2 linked regions of the Coturnix japonica genome follow. The protein of the gene in region 1 purifies or fractionates together with the protein of each later gene. This does not show direct contact. Links are inferred from orthologs where the notes say so. Each region holds a gene or a part of one and is shown in the gene's direction. Other genes may lie near its edges.

What was found. The genes of interacting proteins can lie anywhere in the genome.
Region 2: the proteins of SRC (region 1) and cadherin-1 purify together in Homo sapiens (affinity purification with western blotting; 5 studies listed by BioGRID and IntAct, with this or other methods). This does not show direct contact. The link is inferred for Coturnix japonica from reciprocal best matches to the Homo sapiens genes SRC and CDH1.

What each region holds. Positions count from the first base shown.
Region 1 is NC_029535.1:4,436,699-4,444,043, forward strand, and holds the start of SRC (proto-oncogene tyrosine-protein kinase Src), read left to right. Parts: upstream 1-3,289; 5' UTR 3,290-3,553; intron 3,554-7,345. UniProt on the Homo sapiens protein: Non-receptor protein tyrosine kinase which is activated following engagement of many different classes of cellular receptors including immune response receptors, integrins and other adhesion receptors, receptor protein tyrosine kinases, G protein-coupled receptors as well as cytokine receptors.
Region 2 is NC_029526.1:16,822,673-16,830,017, forward strand, and holds the start of cadherin-1, read left to right. Parts: upstream 1-4,005; 5' UTR 4,006-4,076; coding exon 4,077-4,145; intron 4,146-4,220; coding exon 4,221-4,335; intron 4,336-7,345.

The sequences.
Region 1 (7,345 bases):
TCTTCCAGGAAGGTGTTCTGTTGCTCACAGCGTGTTCCTGCAGGGATCAAGATGACTGTATTGATTTTGTTTGCTTCTGAATCTCATGAAGCATTGGACTGACTGCAGCGAGGAAGTGGGATGATGAATGGAGAGTGCTGGCGTTTGGATCCTGGCTGCTTGTTTGGTGATGAGGTTGGCTGCCAGGTTTGGTGCTCTGAAAGGATCTGACCCTCCTCATCCTCAGACCAGAAGGGATGATTTGGCTGGGGCCGTCCCACAAGAGATACGGAAGCAAACCAGTGTCGGCTTTGGTGTGTCTGAAACTGCTGCTGACTGCAGGGCAAAGGTCCTGCTCTCCTCCAGTACCTGTAGCTTGTGGCTTTGAGCAGTTCTTCTAAGTTTATGGAGTGGTTTTGTGGCTTTTGTTAAGTGGATCAGAGCAGTCGCTGGTCAAAACGTCCCTTGTTTGGGCTGGCAATTACAGGGTGATGATCCTGTTGGTTTCACATCTCTTCCTTTAAATTCAGCTGCTTTTCCCATCTTTCATTCTTGGTCTCCCAACTTCACCGCCCACCCCGGTCTGTCACCACACATCAGTGCTGTGCAGTCCCCACCTCTGGTGATGTTCACTTCCTTCCCCTCAGCTTGTGGGGTTTCACTCGGAGCCTGAAGGCCCTTGTGTGGCTCTGGAGCTTTCTGTACCCTGTGTGAACAGCAGCTGGCTGCAGCCAAAGGCCCTCAGACTGCAGCTGAAGCAGAGCCCAGTTGATTCCTGCACAGCCTGGGTCCAACCCACCTGCCAAACACAGAACCATGCTGCTGTGTGAGAGCCTCCAGGCCGGAGAGAAGGATCCCAGCATTAGTCCCCCCGCTTGGCAAACCTAAACCAGCCCTAAGCTCATAACCATGGGTTCCTGATGCTGGCCATGCTAATTGCTTGCTGTCACACCCACACTCTTTGCATGTCTGCCAAGCTCAGTGATTGTAAAATGATAGAATTCCTGAGCTGGAGGGTCCCTGCGAGGACCACTGAGTCCAGCTCCTGGCTGCACGCTTCAATGGCTCCAGGTGGGGATGGCAAAAAGCTGCTTGAGTTCCTGAAAAGATCAGAGCAAAGGCTCTGCTGCATCTGTCTGCGACTCAAACACCACCACTGTGTTATTCATAGTAATAATTCCTACAAATATAGTTGGAATTTGCAGCGAGCAAAGCGCAGCTCACCTCAGGAACAGAATCTGTGGAACAAGACTTAATGCACGCTCGCCAAAGGGATGCTTAAAAATAAAGCTGGCCAGAGATGAATGGCTGTTTTGTTATAAATCCACAGCTGGGCTGAGGAGGTCAGGACCGACCGAGCATTGGACCTCAAAGGGCCCCTCTCACTTTGCAGAGAGATTTTAGGGGCCCCACGGAGCGGTTGGATGGGGCTCATAAACAGGTCTGAATGGTTTGTCCAGAGAAGTCATGGGTGCCCATTGCATGGACATGGCCAAGGCTGGGCTGGCTGAGCCCTGGGCAGCCTGATCCAGTGGGGGCAGCCAGCCCAGGGCAGGAGTTGGAGCTCAACGATCTTTATTTCCCTTCCAAACCAACCACTTTAAGTTTCATGGGGCACTGGGGGCTCCCCAGCACTACACAGCTGTGGGGCTGAGCCTCAGGGCTCTGTGGGGAGAAACGCAGCAGCACCGGTGTCACCAGGCATTGCAACACACCGTCTGTGTGCAGCATGCCTGAAGGGGGAAGCCATGGGCAGCTGTTCTGATTTTTCCTGATGAAATTGCTTGAAGGTCAACAAAAAAGAGCACAAAAGTAGCTGTGCATTTGTAACGAGAAATCGAGATGTGCCCACATGGGTGAGCCAGGAGAAGTACTCAGTGAGAGTGACTTGGAATTGGAAAGCACCTGCCTTTCACTTCTAGTTTCAGCCTCTGCATCCCTCTCTGCCCTGCCCCCCCACCGTGTGTTTTTGGTGCTACTGAAAGGTGAAGAGAAAGAAGAAAGAGGTTTCAGGGAAGGGAGTGGAATGCCTCACAAAGAGCATGGGTGGGATGGTGAGAAGAGCAGGGCTGGGAGTGGGGCAGGAGGAGAGGGCAGCTGGAGGGCTGCAGGTGAACGCGCCTCGGGCACAGAGCTGAGCCGTGAGCCGGGAGGGCCCCTGCCAGGGTGCTGCGAGGGCACGTTGCTGAGCCAGAGCCCCAAAGAGGAGAGGCTGGATGCCAGGAGTGTCTGGTGGCCATTTTCAATGTGGGTCTGGGCTCAGCCCGTGCAGCAGCACCTCGGGGCTGGGGCCGAGCCCGGTGCCCGGGGCTGTGCTGCCTGCAGGAGGCTGCGGGGCTGTGGGGCTGGGGCAGCCGCTGTGGGTGCAGCATCCATCCATGCCCTGCTATGCCCTGTAGAATTAACAACACCGAAAGGACTTTCCACGGACACCAGGCTGCAGTCTGGGGCCGCAGCCTCCAATTCATGCAGGGAGCGATGATCAGGCTGCTCCTGGCAGGAAGGCCCCCCCGTGCGATGCGCTGGCCGGTGGGGACGGCTCGGTGTGTGCATGACTCCCGGTGACTCATGGGTTTGTTGGCCCTCGGCAGTGTCACGGGAAATATTTTTTTAATAACTCAAATGAGCCGGGGGAGGGGTGCGCACTGCAAACAAACTCAGTCACCCTCCGCACTGATTCTGAAGCGCTGGAGTTTCCAGAAGCCCCCGCTCTGGTCGCTGTGAGGGGCAGCACGAGGGGTGGGCACGACGTCCACGCTCGTGGCTCCACGGGGAGGCTCACGGCACGCTCTTCTTTCCCTGTTTATTCCCCTGCGCTGAAGTTTTGCCTCCTCCCCGAGATCAGGGGGATGGGGACGAGGATGCAGGAGGGCGCAGAATCCATCACAAAGCGGCTGTTCGCTGCGTGCCCCGGTCGCTATAATAAAAGCGAACCGCAAAGCAGCCGGGTTGTAACCTCAGTGCAAATCACCGCTCTCCTCTCGCCGATCCCGGGCGGGCAGCTCGGAGCCGAGCTCAGAACCGCGCCGCGCTCCCACGCGTGGCCCCGCCGCGACCGGGCGGCTCCGGGACGGGGTGCGTCGGTAGAGCCGCGGGCGGGGGCGGCTCCGGTCGCTGCTCCGCACCCCGCCGAGCCCGGCAGCCCGGAGGCTTCTTCCTTAAAAGAAAAAAAAAAAAAACCCGAGGGGAGGGGCTCGGCGATTTTTCTTTTCTTTTTTTTTTTTTTTTTCCTATAAGCCGTTTCCGGTTTACTGCTGCCATATTCCTAGTTTTTTTTCCCTCCCTGTGGGCTGTTCCCCCCTTACACACACACACACACACACACACACACACACACCCCGTACAAGGGGTGATCGGGGGCGGGGAAGCGGCGCTCCGGATCCGCGGTGCTGCGCGATGCTGCCGGCGGCGCAGCCCTGAGCGTCCGGCACGGCCCGGCCCGCGGTGCGGGCACCCAGAGCGGCGGCGGCGGCTGCGGGGGGCGGCGGCCGCGCCCCCGGCACGGAGACAAAGCCGCGGCCGAGCCCTGGAGGGGAGCGGCGGGGTCCGGCCTCGCGGGGCGCACACGCGGGAGGTGAGCGGGGGCTGCGCGGGGTCCGGCGGCGGGGATGGTCCCCGCGGGGTCCGGCTGCGGGGCCGGCGGGAGATGCTCGCCGTGCGGTGGAGGATGCCCGGGTGGCAGCGGGGCGGCTCCGTAATGCCCGCGGTAACGGCGGGGCGGCTCCGGGTTGCGTGGGGCGGCCGTGGGTCCGGCGGAGAGTGCGCGGGGTCCCGGGGCCGGCTGCGGGGCTGCCGGGGGATGGGGACGGGCCCGCCGGGGGAGCGGAGGGGGGAGCTGCGGGGTCCGGCCCCGCCTGCCCGCACTCCCCTTTGTTGTGATCGGGGGCTGCGGGAAACACTGGGAGAGCAGAGCAGGGAGAGCCGGGCTGTGTGCAGGCCGGGGCATGAAATATTCATCGCCCCCCTGCTTTGATGTCTCCTGCTCCGTTTCCCTCTCGATATTCGCTCGTCGGTGATTCGGGGCTCGTGTCCGCGCTCCGCCGGGCGTTCGCTCTGCCCTCGCCCGGGGAGGCTGCAGAGCCCCGCGCTGCCCGGGGAAGGGCTGTACCCGGCCGGCAGGTTCTCCCGGAGCAGCCCGGCTGCTGTGCGTGTCTCCGCCGCGAGGAAGCACCGTGGGACTTGTCTGAACCACGCCGGGGCCTGGGTGGACTTTCCCCTGCTGACCGTGACCCCATGCAGTGCGCTCGGTCCCCGGCTCAGCCCCACGGCAGTTTGGTTTCCTCTTGACCGTCCCTTCTCTCTGCTGCCCGGGAGCTCTGAGGGTACAGGGAGCAGCTCCCGTGGGTGATGTTCCCCCACTCAGTGGTGTTTGGAGCCCGTAGGGTGCTCAGTGCCTGAGTGCTGGGAATGGGACAGCACTGATCCAACAGCATCGGATGTAAACGGAGCTGTGGGAATGTGGCAACAAAAGACTCAGTTTGGTGTTTTTCCTCCTTCCGTGCTGGTGCTCACCCCTGTCCCCAGGGATGTGATGGGGCATGTGGTGGGATGCCGGTGACCTTGTGCTTGGGAGCAGTGTGATGCTGTTGTTCCCCTGCACTCTTCTGCAGGATGATCCCCTGCTGCTGCTGCTTGTTTGTGCTGCTTCGTGCTGGCTCAATGGTTGGCCCATGGACAAACCTCTGCTGCTCAGTGTCTGAGATGAGGCTCCCTGGGGAGCACTGTGCCACTGTGAGCCTGTCTGTGATCCCACTGCACCTCTCCTTAGCAGGCTGTGGGCTGCACCCATTCCCAAGCTTTGACCTTATCTTCTTAGCTTTGGATCTTATCTGAGCACCTCGTGCTCAGGAGCTTCCCCAAAATACAGCCCGGTGATTTTGGAGCTGGGGTTGCTTATGGGCCATCACAGCAGAGGGATGTGCAGTGCTCGCTGTTAAGATTGTCAGTGGCCTTGCAGTGCTCCCTGTGTGATGGAGATGCCCTACAGATACCTCTGCTTTTGAATGACATTGTCCTGGAGTGACTCAAGATCACCCAGGTGGGTCTGTCTGTCCCAGCACAGCGAGGGAAGGGGCCGTAATTTGCAGAGTCTGATGTGTGAAGGCTCTGCTGCATACACAAGGAACAAACTGGTGGCACAGAGGGGACATGGGCTCCGGGCTGGCTCACAATGACATGTTTTAATGACCAGTGAGCACGTGCCACGTCTGGATGGAGAAGGGGTTGCAGCAAGCCCTGGGCTGGAGCACTCAGTCCACGTGCCTAAGGGGAAGCACAGCCGTGCATCACTGCTGCCCCGCACCACCCCAGGCATGGCAGGGGAAGCACCAAGGGCTATCTGCAGCACTATTGCTTCCTGTACCATCCGTCCTGCAGCACGGTTTCTAACTTGGCCCTTTATCTCTGGGAACCATTTCCCAGCTGACCTCACTTCCTCAGAGCTTCTGAGCTCAAAGCCCTCTCGGAAGTGTGGATGCAGGGTGAGCAGTGTGGGTCAGCTCCCTGGAGTGTGATGCTGTGTGATAGTCTGCTCTGCAGTCTGCTTGGCCAGGGGAAAAAGGAGCTGGTTGGTGTGGGCCATATGCTCAGTGCAGCCCTGCTCTGGTGCTGTGACCTTGGTGTGAGGGAAGTGGCACTGCTTTGCACATGCCTCTGCACATGCACAGGCTGAAAAGAAAGCCTTGAAACAGATTTCATGTGGTTTGAACGTGGGCCAGGAACCAGGACCTGTAAATCTGCGTCTTGCTCTGACTTCCCTCCAGGCTACGGATCTCCTCACTGCCCTCCTGGGCACAGAGCTGGGAATGCTTGGGATGCACTGGGAGCTGCCGGGGGGGGCAAAGCAGTGCTGGAGATGTGGAGGGGATGAAAGCAATAGTGGGGATACAGGGAGGAGAAGCTCTGGGGAAGCTGGGGTCTGGCTGGTGGCTTTGCTTCAGACCTTATGGGGGGCTGCTCCCAGCCCCAGGATGGCTGTGCTGTGCAGAGGTGTGGAGGAGCTGGAATACCCACAGTGTAACGTGAGGGGTCCTGTCTTGAGGTCTGCGTTGGTGAAGGGTTTGGAGAGGAAAATGGGGAACTGCAGCACCCGGAGATAACACAGTCTCACCCCTCAGCCTTTCTCCATTCCAAAGCCCAGTGTCATTGGGCACAGTGGGCTCACAGCACTGGGCTGTGCCCGCTGCCACACGCCATCCTTGCACACAGGGTCCCCACTCCCACACTGTGCCTGGTCCTGGCTGCAGTTTCCCAGTCCCAAATGGCACCGTGGTGCTGCAGCACCTCGTGGGTCTGGATGTTCCCAGGGCGGAACCGTGAGCTGGAGAACTTCTGCAATATGGAAAAAAAGCACAGTGGCAGCAGCTCTTGGAGTCCCTCCCTGTTCAGCTGGGCTCTTTCCTTCCCCTGGCAGCAGCCACTGCAAGATAAGGGAGCACTGCAGCCCTGGGGAGCTGCACTGCCACCCCGGCGTGGGGTTGTGTCCTCATGGGTGGGAATGCTGAGCTGCTGTCTGTGGGATGGGGTGAGTGCAGGCTGTGCTGTGCTGGGGGTGGATGGGATGGGGATGGCCCGAATCCCACTGGTGGTGGCCAGCACATGGGGCAGGGTGGAGGGCTGCATTGGAAGCTCACAGGGTGGACAGGCTCAGAGCACTGGGACCAGGTGTGGGGCCATCGCTGGGAGCTGGAGGGTCAGTGTATCTGCAGCTCATCCTGTGTCAGTGACTCCTATTACCCAGGTGGGTTCTGGGCACCTGAGTGAGCAGCGCAGGGCTGGGCTGTGTGCACAGCCTGCTTCTCACCTCCAGGAACGGCGGGGCTGAAAGCCACCAGCTCAGCGTTTTCCTTTGTTTTGCATCTGCTGGGGCTGTTCGTAGCGAGCAGAGCAGTGTGAGCTGCACCTCGGCAGGCTCCGAGCATCCAGCACAGCCTGCATCAGTCAGGGCACAGCCGGGGCATCCAGCGCGGCTCTATGGGCACGGGGACACGGCGGGGCTCTGTGTGATCTCAGCTCGCCCCTCCAGACCCCTCATTTCGCTGAGCTTCTGCTGTATCCCGAGCTTTGTTTTGGTGACAAATAGCGCTGAAGGCCGCAGCGGCTGCGGGACCGGCTGAGCGCAGAGCTGTGCCTGCGGGCCCCCATCCAGCGGTGGGGCAGGGAGGGAGCCGATTCCTGGCCCCGCTCTGAACGCAGCTGTTGCAGCTCTGGGTGTGTGTTGCAGGGCTCTGTGCTGCACGGATCCTGCGGGGCCCCCTGGGGGTCCGTGCCCCGGGGCTGCAGCTGGGAAAGCCGGGCAGCTCCCGGCCGGACTGGCTGGGCTGGTTCTGAGTGGGGAAATGTTTCAGCAGTGACGCCAGCACGGCCG
Region 2 (7,345 bases), on another chromosome or scaffold:
AACCGGGACCGGGAGGCAAAGATTTTCTACAGCATCACCGGGCAGGGGGCGGATGCTCCCCCCGAGGGCATCTTCACCATTGAGAAGGAGACAGGTTGGATGAAGGTGACGCAGCCGCTGGACCGGGAGCACATTGACAAGTACCATGTAGGTCCCTGCTGTGGGGCGCTGGGTTCACCCCCATGCCGTGCTGTCTCCACACTCACCCCTCTGCCCTGCAGCTCTACTCCCACGCCGTGTCCGAGAATGGCAAACCCGTGGAGGAGCCGATGGAGATCATAGTGACGGTGACGGACCAAAACGACAACAAGCCCCAGTTCACACAGGAGGTGTTCCGGGGCTCCGTGCCTGAAGGCGCGCTGCCAGGTGGGGCTGTGCTGCATGGGGGGCTCTGCCTCCTGCAGGATGTGTCCTTCTTGGGGGTGCGTGTTCCGTACCCAACCCTCTCACACAGACCCCCCCCCCCATTGCCCCCCAGGCACTTCGGTGATGCAGGTGAATGCCACGGATGCTGATGATGATGTGGAGACCTACAATGGTGTCATCGCCTACTCCATCCTCAGCCAGGAGCCGCGGGAGCCCCATCCCCACATGTTCACCGTCAACCGCGCCACCGGCACCCTCAGCGTCATCGCCAGCGGCCTCGACCGGGAGGTGGGACCCTGCCCGCAGGGCGACCCTGGCAGTGCGGCTGTGGGTGCTGATGTCTGTCTGTCCATTGCAGCGCGTGCGGGAGTACACGCTGACCATGCAGGCGGCCGACCTGGACGGGCAGGGGCTGACCACGACGGCGCTGGCTGTGATTGAGATCACAGATGTCAATGACAACGCCCCGGAGTTTGACCCCAAAACGGTACCGTGGCCGGGATGGGGGCAGGTTATGCCAGGTGCTGTGGGCTTCGTGCTGACCTTTCCTAATCCACAGTATGAGGCGGCTGTGCCAGAGAATGAAGCTGAGCTGGAGGTGGCCCGGTTGGTCACCACGGACCAGGATGAGCCACAGACACCAGCATGGCGTGCCGTGTACTCCATTGTGCGGGGCAACGAGGGCGGTGCCTTCGCCATCACCACTGACCCTGCCAGCAACGAGGGTGTCCTGCGCACGGCCAAGGTGAGCATCCCCTGCTTGTCCCTGTAGCACAGCCACCAGCCCTGGGCAGTGCTACCCATCCTGTTCCCTCCCACAGGGTCTGGACTACGAGGCCAAGCGGCAGTTTGTGCTCCATGTGGCTGTGGTCAATGAAGCCCCCTTTGCCATCAAGCTGCCCACAGCCACAGCCACAGTGACGGTCAATGTGGAGGATGTGAATGAGGCTCCTGCCTTCGACCCACCGCTGCGGCTGGCCCAAGTGCCAGAGGATGTGCCGCTGGGGCAGCCCCTTGCCTCCTATACAGCACAGGACCCTGACAGAGCCCAGCAGCAGCGCATCAAGTGAGCAGGGCTGGGTTGGGGTCACAGAGGGATCCCTATTGCCATGCCCCGCAGGACCAACCTACTGTGCCCACAGGTATGTGATGGGCAGTGACCCCGCGGGCTGGCTGGCCGTGCACCCTGAGAACGGCCTCATCACAGCACGGGAACAGCTGGACCGTGAGTCCCCGTTCACCAAGAACAGCACCTACATGGCCGTGCTGCTGGCTGTGGATGACGGTGAGTGTGGCGGCTGTGAAAAGGGCCCTTGTTCCCACATTCCCATCAGGCTGCAGTCCCACGTGAGGGACATGTGCTGCTGGTGTCACGGGGGCTGCGTCCCGCTCAGCCCCAGGGCAGGGAGTGGTGCCTGCGTTGCCCACAACGCCTTCTGCCAGCATGGGAGTCCTGCTGCCGAGGGTCCCTTACCAGCCCCACTCCTCCCTGCAGGATTGCCACCCGCCACAGGCACTGGCACGCTGCTCCTCACCCTGCTGGATGTCAATGACCACGGCCCTGAGCCCGAGCCCCGCGACATCGTCATCTGTAACCGCAGCCCTGTGCCCCAGGTGCTGACCATCACCGACCGGGACCTGCCTCCCAACACCGGGCCCTTCCGTGCAGAGCTGAGCCACGGCTCTGGGGACAGCTGGGCGGTGGAGGTTGGCAGTGGAGGTAACGTGGGGACTCGAGGTGGTGCTGCACTTGGTCCCACGTGAGCCAACATGGTGAAGTCAGGCTTGTCACCTACCCCGCACAGGTGACACCGTTGCCTTGTGGCTGACGGAGCCCCTGGAGCAGAACCTGTACAATGTCTACCTGCGGCTCTTCGACCGCCAGGGCAAGGACCAGGTCACTGTCATCAGAGCACAAGTGTGTGACTGCCAGGGCAGGGTGGAGAGCTGTGCTCAGAAGCCACGGGTGGATACCGGTGTGCCCATCGTGCTCGCCGTGCTGGGCGCTGTGCTGGCCCTGCTGCGTGAGTGCCCAACAGCTCGGAGTGTGGGGGTGCTGCAGGGATGTGGCGTGGGGATGAACCACTGATGCAGCTCCTCTCCTGCAGTTGTGCTGCTGCTGCTGCTTCTCCTGGTGAGGAGGAGGAAGGTGGTGAAGGAGCCGCTGTTGCTGCCTGAGGATGACACGAGGGACAACATCTTCTACTATGGGGAGGAAGGTGGGGGTGAGGAGGACCAGGTGAGGCCCAGGCCTGGGGATGGGGGGTAAAGCAGTGCTCCCTGTGTGTCAGCCTCATCCTGCTCCATCCCCACGCAGGACTCACGAACCTGATGCCAGCTGCACCGCGGCCTGGACGCCCGCCCTGAGGTGATCCGCAATGACGTGGCCCCCACCGCTGATGGCCGCCCCCCAGTACCGCCCCGGCCGGCCAACCCCGATGAGATCGGAAACTTCATCGATGAGGTGAGCCCGACCGTTCTGCCGCCGCACTGCTGGGCTGCCCACAGCGTCCCCATCCCATAGGGCTGAGCGCGGGGGGAGCAGCGGGTGAGCCCTTCCTCTGCCCTCCTACAGAACCTGAAGGCGGCTGACACGGACCCACGGCCCCCCCCTACGACTCCGCTGCTGGTGTTCGACTACGAGGCGGAGGTCGGAGCCACCTCGCTAGCTCCCTCAATCTCCTCCGCCTCCGACCAGGACCAGGACTACGACTACCTCAACGAGTGGGGCAACCGCTTCAAGAAGCTGGCGGAGCTCCTATGGCGGTGGGGAGACGATGACTAGCCCCCAACCAGCGCTGCTGCTGCCCAAAGCCTTACCCTGCCCGTGCCTTGGGGCCGCGCTGCCCTCTCCTGCACTCCCTGTGCTGTTTGAAGCAGCCTTGGCTTCCTCCTGTGTGTTTCAACTTTTTTTTTTTAAGCAACTATGAATTTGATGTAGTGGGGTGGTATCAGGGTGGTACCGTTGTGGTACCGGGGTGGTATCAGGGTGGTACTGTTGTGGTACCAGGATGGTACCAGCGGGCTGAGCTGGGGCTGTAGAAGTTTTAGGGAAGTTTTAATAAAGGATGTGGTTTTCCTTTTTCCTTTTTTAAGACCCTTCTCTGTCTCGCTGTGATTCTGTGCACCCCAAGGGCTCAGAGCAGACCCCCCTCACCCGGGGCTGGCTCAGCCCCATCCCCTGTGTGCAGCGATGGGGAGTGCAGGGAGCAGCGCTGCCCATCCCCAGGGCTCTGCCCGCTTGGCGCTCAGCAATAAGTGCATTAAACAACTTAACTGCGTTAACCACGCCGGCTGAGCACGGCGCCTAAGGGGGAAATGGAGCGCTGCTGCTGCCGTGCCACGGCCAGGGCTCGGCTTCTGTCCCAGCTCGGTACGAGCAGCCCCAGTGTCTGTGTGCAGACTCTGCCCCGCTGCAGCCGCGGGGGCGGCGGTAGCACTGAGTGTCGCTGCTCACCCCGGCCCCAGCGCAGCGCCGCAGTTCGCAGAAGGGACCGACCCCGCCGCCCCCTCGTCCCCCCGTGGGCCTCGCGCCCGTGGACGGCGCCGTGGGACGGGGCGGGCGGGACGGGGCGGCCCCGGTGAGGCGGAGCGGGGCGGGGAGGGGCCCGGCGGGGCCAACACCTGCGGGCGGGGCGCTCCCACCTGCGCTTGGCGGAGGCAGCGCTCGGCAGCTCCGTCCGCGGCGGTACCGGCCCGGTCCCTGAGCCATGGGCCGGCGGTGGGGTTCCCCCGGCCCGCAGCGCTTCCCCGTGTTGGTGCTGCTGCTGCTGCTCCAGGTGCGGGGCTGCCGGGCGGGACGGAGGGGACGGAACGGGACGGAAGGGGTCGGGGCTGACACCTCTCTCGGGCAGGTGTGCGGCCGGCGGTGCGACGAGGCAGCCCCCTGCCAGCCCGGCTTTGCTGCAGACACCTTCACCTTCAGCGTGCCCCGGGACAGCGTGGCGGCGGGCAGGGAGCTGGGACGAGGTAGGAGCACGGGGGTGGCTGGGGGGACAGAGCTGTGGTCGTGGGGGTGGGTTGGGTGTGCGCCACCAGAGGTGATGAGAGACACGGGAACAGGCTCAGCGTGGTACCGAAGGTGGCTGGTACCAAGGACGAAGGTGTTCCTGTTGGGACGGGTTCAGTGCGTGGCAAAGTGGCATAGAAATATGGTTGGATGGGGGGCTGGGTGCGTGGCACCGAGGGTGGCCATGGGGAACAAAGCCATGGCTAAGTGCCCGTGTGCCCTGCGTGCTGTCAGGGCCGGCTGCACTATGTCCAGTTCAGTGCTGGTGGCCATGGGCACACGGAGCCGTGCCTACGTGTCCCAGCTCCACGAGCAGCCCGGTGGTGCAGGTGCCGGGGCAAACAGGGGCAGTGGGCGCCTCTCCCAGCAGCACCGAGGCGGGCGGCGCTGACTCAGGCAGAGCTTGTTGGGGCCGGCAGGCTGGGTGTGGGGCATGGAGCCCGGCCCTGAGCCTGTGCTGAGCCCACATCCCAGCACCCAGCACACATCAGCACCCAGCTCACAACAGCACCAAGCCCACATCCAAGTGCCGAGCGCCCGTCCTGGTGCAGAGCCGTGCGTGGGTGCGGGTGGTGGTTCTTAGGAAGGGTGGCTCAGGAGTTCCAGTCTGAGTTTCGCCCACGCTGGGGAGTATCGGGGCTGGGAGCTGAACCCTGCACTGTACCAACGCATTCCATGTTTGTGAACTTTCTGTTAATCATTTACCCGGGCTGTGCAGCGCCAGCAGGCTGTGCCCATTGGGGCAGTGACTGACATCAGGGTGACGGGCAGCTGTGTGCCAGGCAGCACTAACCCAGCACACAGCGATGGCTCCCAGCTGGAAATCCCCGCTGCCGAGCACCAGCACTTCCCGTCTGGGGCTGGGGACAGGGGGGGTGTGTGGGAGTTGGGCGTCCTGTCTGGGTCTGCCCGCGCGTGCCAGCGCTGCTGCCACAAAGCCTGACCACAGAGCATCCTGCCGTGCCCTCCGTGCCGTGCAGCCTTTCAAAAGCCCCATCTGTGGCTCAGCACGAGCAGCGTGATGAGCTTCCCTGTAATTACCCGATGAGCCGAGCGCTGTGTTTGCAGTCAGACAGGTCTGGATTGGCCCCGCACAGCGCTCGGGTGGTGAACATCAGTGGGAGCTCCAGGGGCTGGTGGGTGCAGCTCTGGGCTCCCCAACGGCGCTGCAGCTGCCTGCCTGATGAAAGGGCTTGGTGGAGGAAGGAGCAATTTCCTCCATGTTAATGCGGGCTGTAAAAGCTGCACGGCACGATGCTTTCTGCTGGGTGCTGGGGCTGCTGCTGCCCCACACCCCAAGGGAAGGACAGACAGCACCTGCCCCGCATCCCTGGGGCTCAGCTCAGCCTCACTTACTGAGCAAAGGGTCCTAAGGGAGGGGATGGGATGGTGGATCCCAGGCAGGAGCTCTGAGGGAGCCCTCGGCTGTGTGGGTATGGCACCTTATGGGAGGAACACGGGTGTGCAGCCAGGTGTGACGCTTCCCAGTTGCGTAGGTCCCGGATCAGCCCCAAATGGGAGAAAACCGAGAGTCTGAAGTCACGGTGAAACTCGGTGATGTCAGGCCCTGGCAGGACGTGTGGCTCACTGCGCTCTTGCAGCACTTTCACCCTGGCTGCTCATGGCTGACGTGTGCCTCTCCCCGCCACCAGCTTCCGCCCCGGCACAGCCGCACTTGCACAACCTGCGTGGGGATGGGGAAGAACATTGGGATGGTGGCACTTGGCTGCGCCTGTGACTCACCCTGTGCCCAGCCCCAGTGAGACACTTTCCTGTGTCGCAGCAGAATGGGGGTAGCTTGGTGTCCCCAGGTCCCAGCCCAGTGTGGAGGGCTCACCTCCCCACCCCAGCTTTGAGCCGGTAATTCGCTGGTTTGGGCCCCACGGCCAAACGCATTTGAAGGTCCAGGAAATCAGTGGCACTCAGTTGCCTCCCGCAGTGCAGGAGCCCCTGAGCTCGACCCCTGCCCCACGCCTTGCCGAGGCCCCATTGGCTCAGTGCCCCGGGGAGAATGGAGCTGGGAGGGGCTGGCTTTCAAGTGTGGAGCTGGAAAAACAGGTTGTGCACGGCCGGGCGCAGAGGGGGAGATGGGGAGAGGGGGAGAGGGGGAGCTTAGCAGCGGTGCGGGGCCGGGTGCTGTGCACGGTGCGCTCCGCCGGCCAAGTGCCAGGAGCCGGGTACCCGCAGGGATGGGGCACCTCCCCACTGCGAGCACACGGTGCGGGAGCGCCCGGCGTGCCCCAGCACAGCCCTGCACAGCCGGTATCACCGGCTGGCCCGCCTGGGTTGGCATCGCCCCGCAGGGAGCGCGGCACGGCGGTGGGCGAGCAGCCCCCGGCCCAGCTCTGCCATTACCTCCCCCTCGATGTTGTCTCTGAATTCCTGGGCTGCCTGCAGGCTGATGTAACACGGGACGCTGGGACAGGTCCCGGCAGTGACGGCCGCCCCTGGGGAGCCCAGCTCCGTGCTTCCCAGCCCGGGCACATTGCTGGGCCATGGCGGTACCCCGCGTGCTGTACGGCCATGTGGGAGCCAAGGCTGTGCGGGTCAGGGGGACCCCGGCTGAGTGCTGCCGGCTCAAACAAAACATCCCCAGACAAAGGAGCGTTTGTTCTGGCAGCTCCAGCCATGCGGCCCAGCCTCATGTGATGCTGCTGCTCGCTGCTGAGCTGCGCGGTCCCCCCCAGGCTGTCCTCAGCCCTGGTATGCTGGTCCCTGCTGTGAGCACTGCCAGACCTGCATGGCCTGTGCTGGAGCTCACACTGTGACCCAGCAGGGTGACTCCGGGGTGTCATCTGTCCCAAAAGAACCCCAAGCAGCAGAGGGGATGGAGCTCTGTATGGATACCTGGGCAGCAGGGGTGCCCCAGCTGCTGTCTCACGCCCTTGGGTGCACCTTCCCCACTGCACAGACTCATATCCCAGTTGGCTGCTGGGGTGGCCACGTGCCAGCGGATCTGAGCCAGACACA